3 linked regions of the Macaca mulatta genome follow. The protein of the gene in region 1 interacts with the protein of each later gene in a pairwise test. Links are inferred from orthologs where the notes say so. Each region holds a gene or a part of one and is shown on either strand. Other genes may lie near its edges.

What was found.
Region 2: the proteins of CREB3 (region 1) and ATP6AP2 interact in a two-hybrid assay, tested with the Homo sapiens proteins (2 studies listed by BioGRID and IntAct). The two-hybrid records come from large-scale screens. The link is inferred for Macaca mulatta from reciprocal best matches to the Homo sapiens genes CREB3 and ATP6AP2.
Region 3: the proteins of CREB3 (region 1) and C2H3orf52 interact in a two-hybrid assay, tested with the Homo sapiens proteins (2 studies listed by BioGRID and IntAct). The two-hybrid records come from large-scale screens. The link is inferred for Macaca mulatta from reciprocal best matches to the Homo sapiens genes CREB3 and C3orf52.

What each region holds. Positions count from the first base shown.
Region 1 is NC_133420.1:63,959,876-63,962,078, reverse strand, and holds the end of CREB3 (cyclic AMP-responsive element-binding protein 3), read left to right. Parts: intron 1-74; coding exon 75-181; intron 182-271; coding exon 272-340; intron 341-989; coding exon 990-1,074; intron 1,075-1,171; coding exon 1,172-1,256; intron 1,257-1,337; coding exon 1,338-1,672; 3' UTR 1,673-1,694; downstream 1,695-2,203. Other genes in the region: GBA2 (non-lysosomal glucosylceramidase), read right to left, coding at 2,115-2,203. UniProt on the Homo sapiens protein: Endoplasmic reticulum (ER)-bound sequence-specific transcription factor that directly binds DNA and activates transcription. Plays a role in the unfolded protein response (UPR), promoting cell survival versus ER stress-induced apoptotic cell death.
Region 2 is NC_133426.1:40,475,693-40,479,348, forward strand, and holds part of ATP6AP2 (renin receptor precursor), read left to right. Parts: intron 1-134; coding exon 135-272; intron 273-1,281; coding exon 1,282-1,335; intron 1,336-2,188; coding exon 2,189-2,338; intron 2,339-3,358; coding exon 3,359-3,478; intron 3,479-3,656. UniProt on the Homo sapiens protein: Multifunctional protein which functions as a renin, prorenin cellular receptor and is involved in the assembly of the lysosomal proton-transporting V-type ATPase (V-ATPase) and the acidification of the endo-lysosomal system.
Region 3 is NC_133407.1:171,558,060-171,561,815, forward strand, and holds the start of C2H3orf52 (TPA-induced transmembrane protein), read right to left. Parts: upstream 2,746-3,756; 5' UTR 2,566-2,745; coding exon 2,428-2,565; intron 1-2,427. UniProt on the Homo sapiens protein: Has a role in LIPH-mediated synthesis of 2-acyl lysophosphatidic acid (LPA). LPA is a bioactive lipid mediator involved in different biological processes, and necessary to promote hair formation and growth.

The sequences.
Region 1 (2,203 bases):
ATGGATCTCAGTTGCCTTTCAACTTCTTGTTCTAGAGTCCCTCTAATGATACCCCTTTCCTTGTTTCCTTTCAGATGGAGGAACAAATTCTGAAACGTGTGCGGAGGAAGATTCGAAATAAAAGATCTGCTCAAGAGAGCCGCAGGAAAAAGAAGGTGTATGTTGGGGGTTTAGAGAGCAGGTATGAAAGGGAGAGGGACTCAGTTTTAAGTGTTAGGTTTTTGAAGGGAGGACACAGGCCATATCCCCATATCTTTGTTATTTCCCCCAGGGTCTTGAAATACACAGCCCAGAATATGGAGCTTCAGAACAAAGTACAGCTTCTGGAGGAACAGAATTTGTAAGTATCCCTCCAAACCATTCCCTTCCTACGCTCCTCATTTAATGTTTTCTCACTCTTTCCCCTGCCCTACACTTGATTTCTAACAGGGTGGCTGCCTTCACTAGGTCTCTGATTCTAAGAAGCTCACAGTAGTGGGGAATATATTTATAAGTAACTGAGAATAAGCTAAGTACCTAGAAAAAGAAAGGGGGTAAGAAAGACCTCATGGGCTTTCATAGGATTCTGGGGTTGGGTTGGGAAAGCATTCTAGGCAGAGAGAAAGCATCCTAGGCAAGAGGATTAGCCCAGCATAGTCCTCTTGGGCTGGAACACATGTGAGCTGGGACAGAAGGTAGAGAACGTAGAGAATGCCCGGTGAGGATTATGTGCATAGCTGATCAGACAATGGGGAACTACTGATGATATTTGCAAAGGAGGTTAAGTCCTGGAAGAGTTTGTTTTGTTTTGTTTTTGCTTTTTTTGTTTGTTTTAATGAGGAACTTCAGGCATTTTTTCCAGAGTGGAAGAAGTCGTTTGCAAAAATAGAATGAAAAGTAAGAGAGAGGATCCAGTGCAGAGATGGAGGAGGTGGCCTGAACAGGAGTTTCACTGTGTCTCAGGGTGCTAGGCCAGGGGATGCTCACCATTGGCCCCTCTCTTCCTCTAGGTCCCTTCTGCATCAACTGAGGAAACTCCAGGCCATGGTGATTGAGATATCAAACAAAACGAGCAGTAGCAGCACCTGCATCTTGGTGAGGATAGTGATGAGGGGAGAAATTCTTTTCTCAGTTGCTGGGGACAGTTGTGCAATCCAGAGCCCTTCTTCATCTCCTTTTTCCTCTGCTGTAGGTCCTACTAGTCTCCTTCTGCCTCCTCCTTGTACCTGCTATGTACTCCTCTGACACAAGGGGGAGCCTGCCAGCTGAGCATGGAGGTAAGAGGCTTAAGGATAGCTCTCAGACATGGGCAAGGGGAGAGGCCTGGGTTGGCCTCTGAAGATTCTTTGTCTCCTCAGTGTTGTCCCGCCAGCTTCGTGCCCTCCCCAGTGAGAACCCTTACCAGCTGGAGTTGCCTGCCCTGCAGTCAGAGGTGCCAAAAGACTGCACACACCAGTGGCTGGACAGCTCAGACCACGTACTCCAGGCCCCTGGCAACTCTTCCTGCCTACTGTACTACATGCCTCAGGCTCCCAGTGCAGAGCCTCCCCTGGAGTGGCCATTCCCTGACCTCTTCTCAGAGCCTCTCTGCCGAGGTCCCATCCTCCCCCTGCAGGCAAATCTCACAAGGAAGGGGGGATGGCTTCCTACCGGTAGCCCCTCTGTCATCTTGCAGGACAGATACTCAGGCTAGATATGAGGATATGTGGGGGGGGTCTCAGCAAGAGCTTGTGGGGCTCCCCATCTGTGTCCAAATAAAAAGGGGTGGGCGAGGGCTGGCTGCAGCTCCTATGCCCTATCAGGAGGACTGAGGGCTCAAACACACCACACTTACTGGCTTTCTGGGTCTTTTATTTGTACCCATGTGTCTCACCCCATGAATGTACCTGGGGAAATCAACTGACCTCCCTGAACATTTCATGCAGTGAGGGAACGGGTGAGGAAAGAAATAAATAAGTGATTCTAATGCTGCCTAGGTCACCCTCAACCCCCATTTACTGGCACAACTGGGTGGGGAGAAGGGAAGGGGTATGATTGTCCTGATGGCTCAGGGTTGCAGAAGGTTCAGAGGGGAAGGAGGAAAGGCCAGGCTGGAGGCTGGGCTATTAGTGCTTTCCTCCCACAGTTCAGACGGTTCACTCTGGGCTCACGTTTGCCATGGCTTCCTTTGGTCCAAACATAGGCCCTGTCCTTAGTCCTGTGCCCTGTTCGACTTTTGGCCTGG
Region 2 (3,656 bases), on another chromosome or scaffold:
ATTATTTGGAAATTATGAAATGTATTTTATTATGAAAATTTAAAACTAATTTATGAACAATGTTGTCATACCTCTGTGTATTGGAACTAATCTGTAGAATGTGAGCAACTTAAAATTTTCTATTCTTCTTACAGAGAGTGTATATGGTAGGGAAGGCAAACTCAGTGTTTGAAGACCTTTCAGTCACCTTACGCCAGCTCCGTAATCGCCTATTTCAAGAAAACTCTGTTCTAAGTTCACTCCCCCTCAATTCTCTGAGTAGGAACAATGAAGTAAGTGCAGTTATTCAATGAATATATGAATATCATTAATTTCCCTCTTTTTGAAAAATAGAGACAGGGTCTCACTCTGTTGAGTCCAGGCGAACTCCTGGCCTCAAGCAGTCCTGTCTCGGCCTCCCAAAGTGCTGGGATCACAGGCATGAGCCACTGCGTCTGGCCCTCCCATTCCTTATACTACTTGAAATTTTGGAAATTTTGATATTTTAGAAAATGAAAAATTGTGCACATTTACTGCTGGGGTAGATTCTTCTTTAATGTAATTTTCTTATGACTCTCATGAATAAACTGATCCTTTTTTGTGAGGGGAGCTATGGTAAATAACATCACATTTTAGCATGAGGGTTGCCACCTAGTAATTCAAACAAGCCAGAGGTCATAGATCTACTTGGTGACTGGTGGAGCTGTGTGGATCTGGTAACTTGGGAGCCATTGTTCACTGCTTCTGCTGATGTGCTGCCACATTTTTCTCATTCATTCTGGATATTGCAGTGGAGGGAGCCACCTCTGCTTTTGACTCCTGTCCTTCAGCTTCTCCATCTGCTCATGCACCCTCTTAACCATGTGGCATGCCACTTTTGTGGTGGCCTCCCCTCTTTAGTTGCTGTGGATGACCAGGGCCATCATCTTTTATTCTCTGATGTGGAAACTATTCAAGGGAAGTAAGCAAACTGGGCCAATGGTAGGATCTCATTGCAGAGTGCCAGGATATCCCGATGCTTTGAAGGAAAACCACTGGAGAACTTGAATGCTTTATCATGGTTTTGTCAAAAATATAGCTATTGAGTGGCGGTCACTGTACTAGGGAATGGCCATCACCTTTTTGTTAGGAAATAATGTTTTATGTGCATTTTCAATTGAAGCAAACATACCAAATGGAAGATAATTATATAAATTCACTTATATCATCATTTGTAATATCCCATGCCTTACTTGATAAATGGCAAATAAAGATCTCTGGTGCACATTTAAAAGAATGCTCTTTTTTTTGGGCTCTCTGAAGGTTGACCTGCTCTTTCTTTCTGAACTGCAAGTGCTACATGATATTTCAAGCTTGGTAAGTAGGCTGCTCTGATTTTTCAGTTCCATTTATTTTGGTTTCTAGAGAATCCTTGAATGATAGTAAAAGCAGTTGAAAAGTTTGATTAAGTATGCCTTAGATTTATGATCCCATGAAAATTGAAAACTTAGTGGCAGTATTGGGAATTTTGAATATATCCATGTTATAGTCAAATTATTTTGCATTTCTGCTTTTTAGGGAGAGACAGCATATCTTCCAAGAACACAAGCCTGGGCGTAAGAACACCCTGGCCATAGTCCTAACTTGGCTGTTGATTTCTTGTCAGACTTAATTCCTATCTATATCTTTGGGCCTAAAATAGAAATAATAGTTTGGACTAATAATGCTGTCAGTCAAGTCAAGAAGGGACAAAATCCGTCTGAAGGGTATTTTTTTGGTGAATGATTTTTAAAAAATCATCCTTGTTACTGAAATAGAAATTCTTACCTGTTTGTTGTCTTCTGAGGTTGTTTTCCAAACTTTTTCAACAGGTGTTGGTTTGGGGAGTCTGGAAGTGTAGTGCATTCCTGGGATCAAACTGGTCCAGCCATCTGTTCTTTCATACCAAGGCCCATACCTGAGTTTTTAAAACTGAGGAATTTTGTTGAAAGCTTTTATTAAATATCCAAGGAGTCTTGTACTGCTCCTAAACATGAGATTCGTGTTGGATTTATCAGAAACGCTTATTCAAACCAGTTTCTTTTGCCACCATTTTAGACTGTTTGCATGCTGTAGTACACTGGTATGGTTTAGTTTAGCCTAGTTTGGGCATAAAACTTTAACTGGCTGTGTTTGACATCTTTCATCTTACTTTATCCACTACCTTTTTTTGTTTGTTTGTTCTCCTAAGCTGTCTCGTCATAAGCATCTAGCCAAGGATCATTCTCCTGATTTGTATTCACTGGAGCTGGCAGGTTTGGATGAAATTGGGAAGCGTTACGGGGAAGACTCTGAACAATTCAGAGATGCTTCTAAGATCCTTGTTGACGCTTTGCAAAAGGTAAATATCAATGAGACATGAGAGGCTGGAGTATGACCATTTCACTTTTAGCCTCTTAATAGAAAAATCTGCTGTTTCAAACACTGTTGACTGAGCTCTTACTTGCCTTCTTTGGGGTTCCTCTAGTTATATTGGCCAAGGATGGAGTAGGGTCAAAAATGTATATTGATATATTTCTTCCTAATGCTAGAAAGAACAGCATTAGGAAAAGTTATCTCACACAAAGCTTTACAAAATTTTTGTGGTAAAATATATATAACATAAAATTACCATTTTAACCATTTTTAATTGTCCAGTTCAGTGTTATTAAGTACCAGTACATTCACATGTTGTACAACCATCACTATCTTTTATTTCTAGAACTTTTTCATCTTCCCCAACTGAAACTCTGTACCGCTTAAACACTATGAGATAACTGAAGTAGAACACCCAGCACAGTACCAGACACTTAGTAGATGCATAATAAATGCTAGTTCCCCTCTGCCCTTGAAGTTCTTCACCTGCATCCTTTCAGTGAGGCTTCACATTTTAATTTTTATAGATGTTTGTGATTAACCAGAGACCACTTAGGAAGATTTCTTCATTTCTCTTTCCAACTTTCCCTCCTCCAATTTATATGCTGACAAATTCAGTCTCTTAATTTTATTCTGAACATTTGAATATATGTTAAAGCTCAACACTTTTCTGTATAGTTGAGCATAATCAAAACCTTTAATACTTGCTTATTTTAAGATGTAGTATATTTCATGAGCCAGGAGGTAAGTGTACATTGTTCTTGTAGCTGCACAAAAGCTTTAAAAATCATTTTAATAAGTATGTGTTTGACTCATTGCATAAAATGATAAGTAGTGAGGTAATGCATATGTTAATTAGCCAATGTGTACTTAAGCCATTTCACAATGTGTACATATTTCAAAACAATATGTTGATGTGATAAATATATATGATTTTAATTTGTTAATTAAAAATGAGAAAAGTACATATTTGAGATTCCCAATAACGTTAATAACTAACTTTCAGTTTGCAGATGACATGTACAATCTTTATGGTGGGAATGCAGTGGTAGAGTTAGTCACTGTCAAGTCATTTGACACCTCCCTTGTTAGGAAGACAAGGACTATCCTTGAGGCAAAACAAGCGGTGAGTATATTTTGAGATCCTGCTTTAAAACTGTAAAATTAACTTTTTATAAAAACAAAAACATACAAAGTCCTATATCACCTATGGGTGACATGAATGAGCAGTCAGTAAATCTGAAAAACAATTTCAGTTAAAACATAAGCTTCTTGTTCACATACGTATGTGTGTTTTGCCAGTG
Region 3 (3,756 bases), on another chromosome or scaffold:
CATCACAGCTCTTCCAAGGAAGAAGAGAGATGTCTTCTTCCCAATCATTCCAGAACTGTTCCCGATTCCTCACCCATCCACCTGCAACTCCATCATTCCAGATGTGACACTCAACTCCTAGCTCACTTAAATTACCTAATTATAAATTACCTTACAGAAATTAGTAATAATTAATAATGTAGGCAACTATAAATAAATGAGTATAAATTATATATGACATATATTTAAATTAAATGCTGATAGATGATAGATAGATAGATAGATAGATAGATAGATAGATAGATAGAATAAATCAACAGAAACAGCATAGTTTTGAGATCTAAAAAACATACGTTCAAGCTTCAGAGGCACCACTGAGGGAACATGAGCATTTTGGTAACTCCTCTGAGCCTCCCTCAATTTCTTCACTCAGCATCTTTAATCTGACAAACCAGAATACTGATGCCTTCCTCTTAAGTTAGCTGTGATAATTAAATGCATTTATGCATCAAAAGTATTTGTCACAAGACAGTCACTAAACAGGGTGAATGAAAATACATGAACTTCAGCTACATTGCAAAATTAGAAATCTTAATATACAGTTCAAAGAGACCAACACACAAAATTCTTAAGTGTCTGAATCTTGTCTGAATCTTTTTAATAAGCCTATATTTATTGACTTTTCTAACTGAAATACACTTCACCTTATTTTATAGAAAAAAAAAAAGAATGATTATCACATTAGGTGATGCTTTTTTTTTCTTTGTTAAAGATTTCCCTTTAACAAAGTCCAAGCATTCCTTGAACACACTCCAAGTGCTCCTGTAGCCCTTCACCTTCACTCCATCCTGTTACTGAGGACAGCTCTCCTATTGGGTGACCTACAAAGTTAACTTACAAAGAAGTCTAGGGTATCTGTACATACCTTACTAACAAGGACGTCATGGGAACACGAAACAACCATTGCTACAGGGTAGGTGCTAAACAATTACAGAATACTGATAACCCTGCATGGATTTGGCGTGTTCTACCCATCACCTGTTTTCAACAAGGCATTCCCGGGCCTCACAGAAGTCCGAGTAGGCACACATTACCACTACGGGACAGCCTTGCCCCTGGGACACATTGTTTAGTGGTGAAACTGTCACCAGATCTCTGGATTTAGTCCCAAGCTAGGGAGTTTTTAGGGTGTCCGGGTCTGTCTAATCTGAGGCAAGTATTTCCAACTCCCATTCCCAGACACCGTCCTGGAGGACCCATACAGCAAGTTCACAGTTGTGGCCACTTGCACTGGTGACCAGACTGTCTTTGTTCAACCTTCATTCTTCTGTGGCATTCATATTTTATTCAGAAAGAAGTTTCCAAATTACTCTCCAGAGTACCTATAAAAGCAAACTTTGCAATAGTTCCAGGAATCAATGTAGAGCAAAAGCAATGCTTTCAACTTTTGAATTTCCTGCTTATCCCTAAAATCAACAGCTGGGCAGCCAAAAAGTTGGGGGTGGAGGAGTGGGGCCTAGAAAGATGAGGTCGGGGCTCAATATGGGGAGTTCTGTGTACCCAGAAAACCTCAAGCCAATCTTAAGAGTTAATCAGAAGGTGGATGGCTGGGAAGTCAAAGCTCTGATGTTTTACAAGTCTTTGATGAGAGCGAATAATGTTGCCATCATTGCTAGGGTTGAAGCAGAAAAGAGCTTGGCCTAAAAATTGCCAGGGATTGAGAGGAGGTAAAAGCAAGGTGGGCGAAGTCTCATCCTTCGAGACAAGAACTTTGAACTTATTTTCTTTCAATTGAGCAGGGCAAGTTCACCTCCACCTGCCCCCCCGACCCGCCCGCACCATCCCCACGCCAGCCCTAGTCCTTCTCCTTCGGACCGCTTTCTCTCCTCTGTGCTCTCCCCTATCTCTCTTCCTGCAGAATCGAACGGCCAGGCTGGGAGAAGGCAGAAAGTGCTTGGCGGATGGTAGGCATGGAAGAGGGCTGGGAGCTGCGGCGAGGTGGGTGGAGGCAAGGGAGAGACGCGGCAAGGCAGTGAAGGTAAGGGGAAAGCTTAAGAGATTCTTAGAGAAGGAGGATACTCCATCTGTCATTCTCATTCTCCCTACTGGAAAAAAGAAAAACTGAATTAAAAGTTACATAACTTTAAAAAACTACCTCTATCTCCGGAGTATCTGAAGACAGGAGCGGCCACACCTCACCCCTAGGATTCCTAAAGCGCCTCGGGGGTCGGAGGGGTTGGACGACCCCAGGGGCTGGGGAGGGGACTGCTCCGGCCGAAAGGTGTCGCGGTTACTCGGCTCCATTCAGAGCACTCGAGCGCGCCCCACCCTCGCTCGGCGCCGGCGACGCCCCGCCTGGCTGGAAACCCGAAACTCGCGGGTGCCAGGCCCGGGTCCTACTACTGTCCCGCCGCTGGCAGGTTAGGGCCAGCGCCAAGGGGACCTTACCTCGGCCGGGGGGGCCTCCTCGTCCAAAGAAGGGAAGACCTTGACGGCACCATTGAGAGGCGTGTGCTCGTTTGGCTGCCGCACGAGCACCGAGAGCTCCAGCTCGTCTACGGGTGGTGAGGGTTGGGCCAGGTCCATGGGCGGGCGGAGAAGGTCTGAGCCGCTCCGAGGGAGGCCACAGCGCAAGGAGGGTCGAGCGACCTCACCGCCTCACACTCCACCCACTGGGCGGGGCGCAGCGGACTTCGGGCGGCGGGAGCGACCGGAGCCGACAGGAGGGGCGAGCGGTGAGTGGCGGCCACTCCCCGGAGCGGGTAGAGCACCTAAAGCCGTGCTCGCAGTGGGCTCTAGAGCCGAGGGCTGTTTTTCTGGTTTGTTCAGGGCGCTGCCTGCTGTGCCTTTCCCCGCGCCTGCAGATGCGGACCATCTGCGTTTAGGGGCTGCCTGGGTGTCGGGCTGTGGTAAGGAAAAGATGGGCCGGGCCGCACCGTCCAACGGAGGAAAGTTTGCGATCTAAGCCCACGAACTGTTGGTTGTTGGGGTTTGCCACAGTCCTCGCGGTCTAGCAAAAGTGCATTCATTCAATCAAGAAATAACCATGCCTCGTGCCAGCATGGTGCTAGGTTCTGAGTATATGAAGGTGAATAATATACACCAACACACTTCCTCGTCAAGTCCAGAGTCAGGCACAGAGACAGTATTGTGTGGTGCTGGGGACAGTGGACTCTAAAACCAGTGTACCTGGGTTATTCTCCACCCAGGGCGTTCCTCACTGTGAGACCTCGGGCTTCATCTCTCTGTGCCAATGTCCTCGCCTGGAAAGGTGGTGTAATATTTGTACCCTCCTAATATAGTTTTTACCAGGATTACAAGGGTTGCTGTAAGCAAGGCACTCAGAACAGTGATTGACACAGCAAGCACTCATAAATGTTGACCATTATTATTTATCTTTGAGGGGAGGGGCCTTACACACACACACACAAAATTCCTGCGCACACACAATCTCCTTGACACCCTATCTATAGTTCAGAACTTCCGGTTTAGTTAGCATGGAATTATGTTTGTTAAGCACAGCGTGGATTGGGCCAAGGGCCTCACCTCTCAAGCTTCTGTTCCGAATAGTCTTGTTCCTCATTTTCACCCTCCACGCAACACACACACACACACACACACACACACACACACACACACACACACACATTAAGACCAGATCATTAACAAGAAGCATATAAATCAGCTCCACTCCAAATACGTTGACTTGAGTCCAAAAGTCTGGCATATTCAGTGCCTGATGTTGAGACACAGCCTAGCTATCCTGTCTCCAGTTGT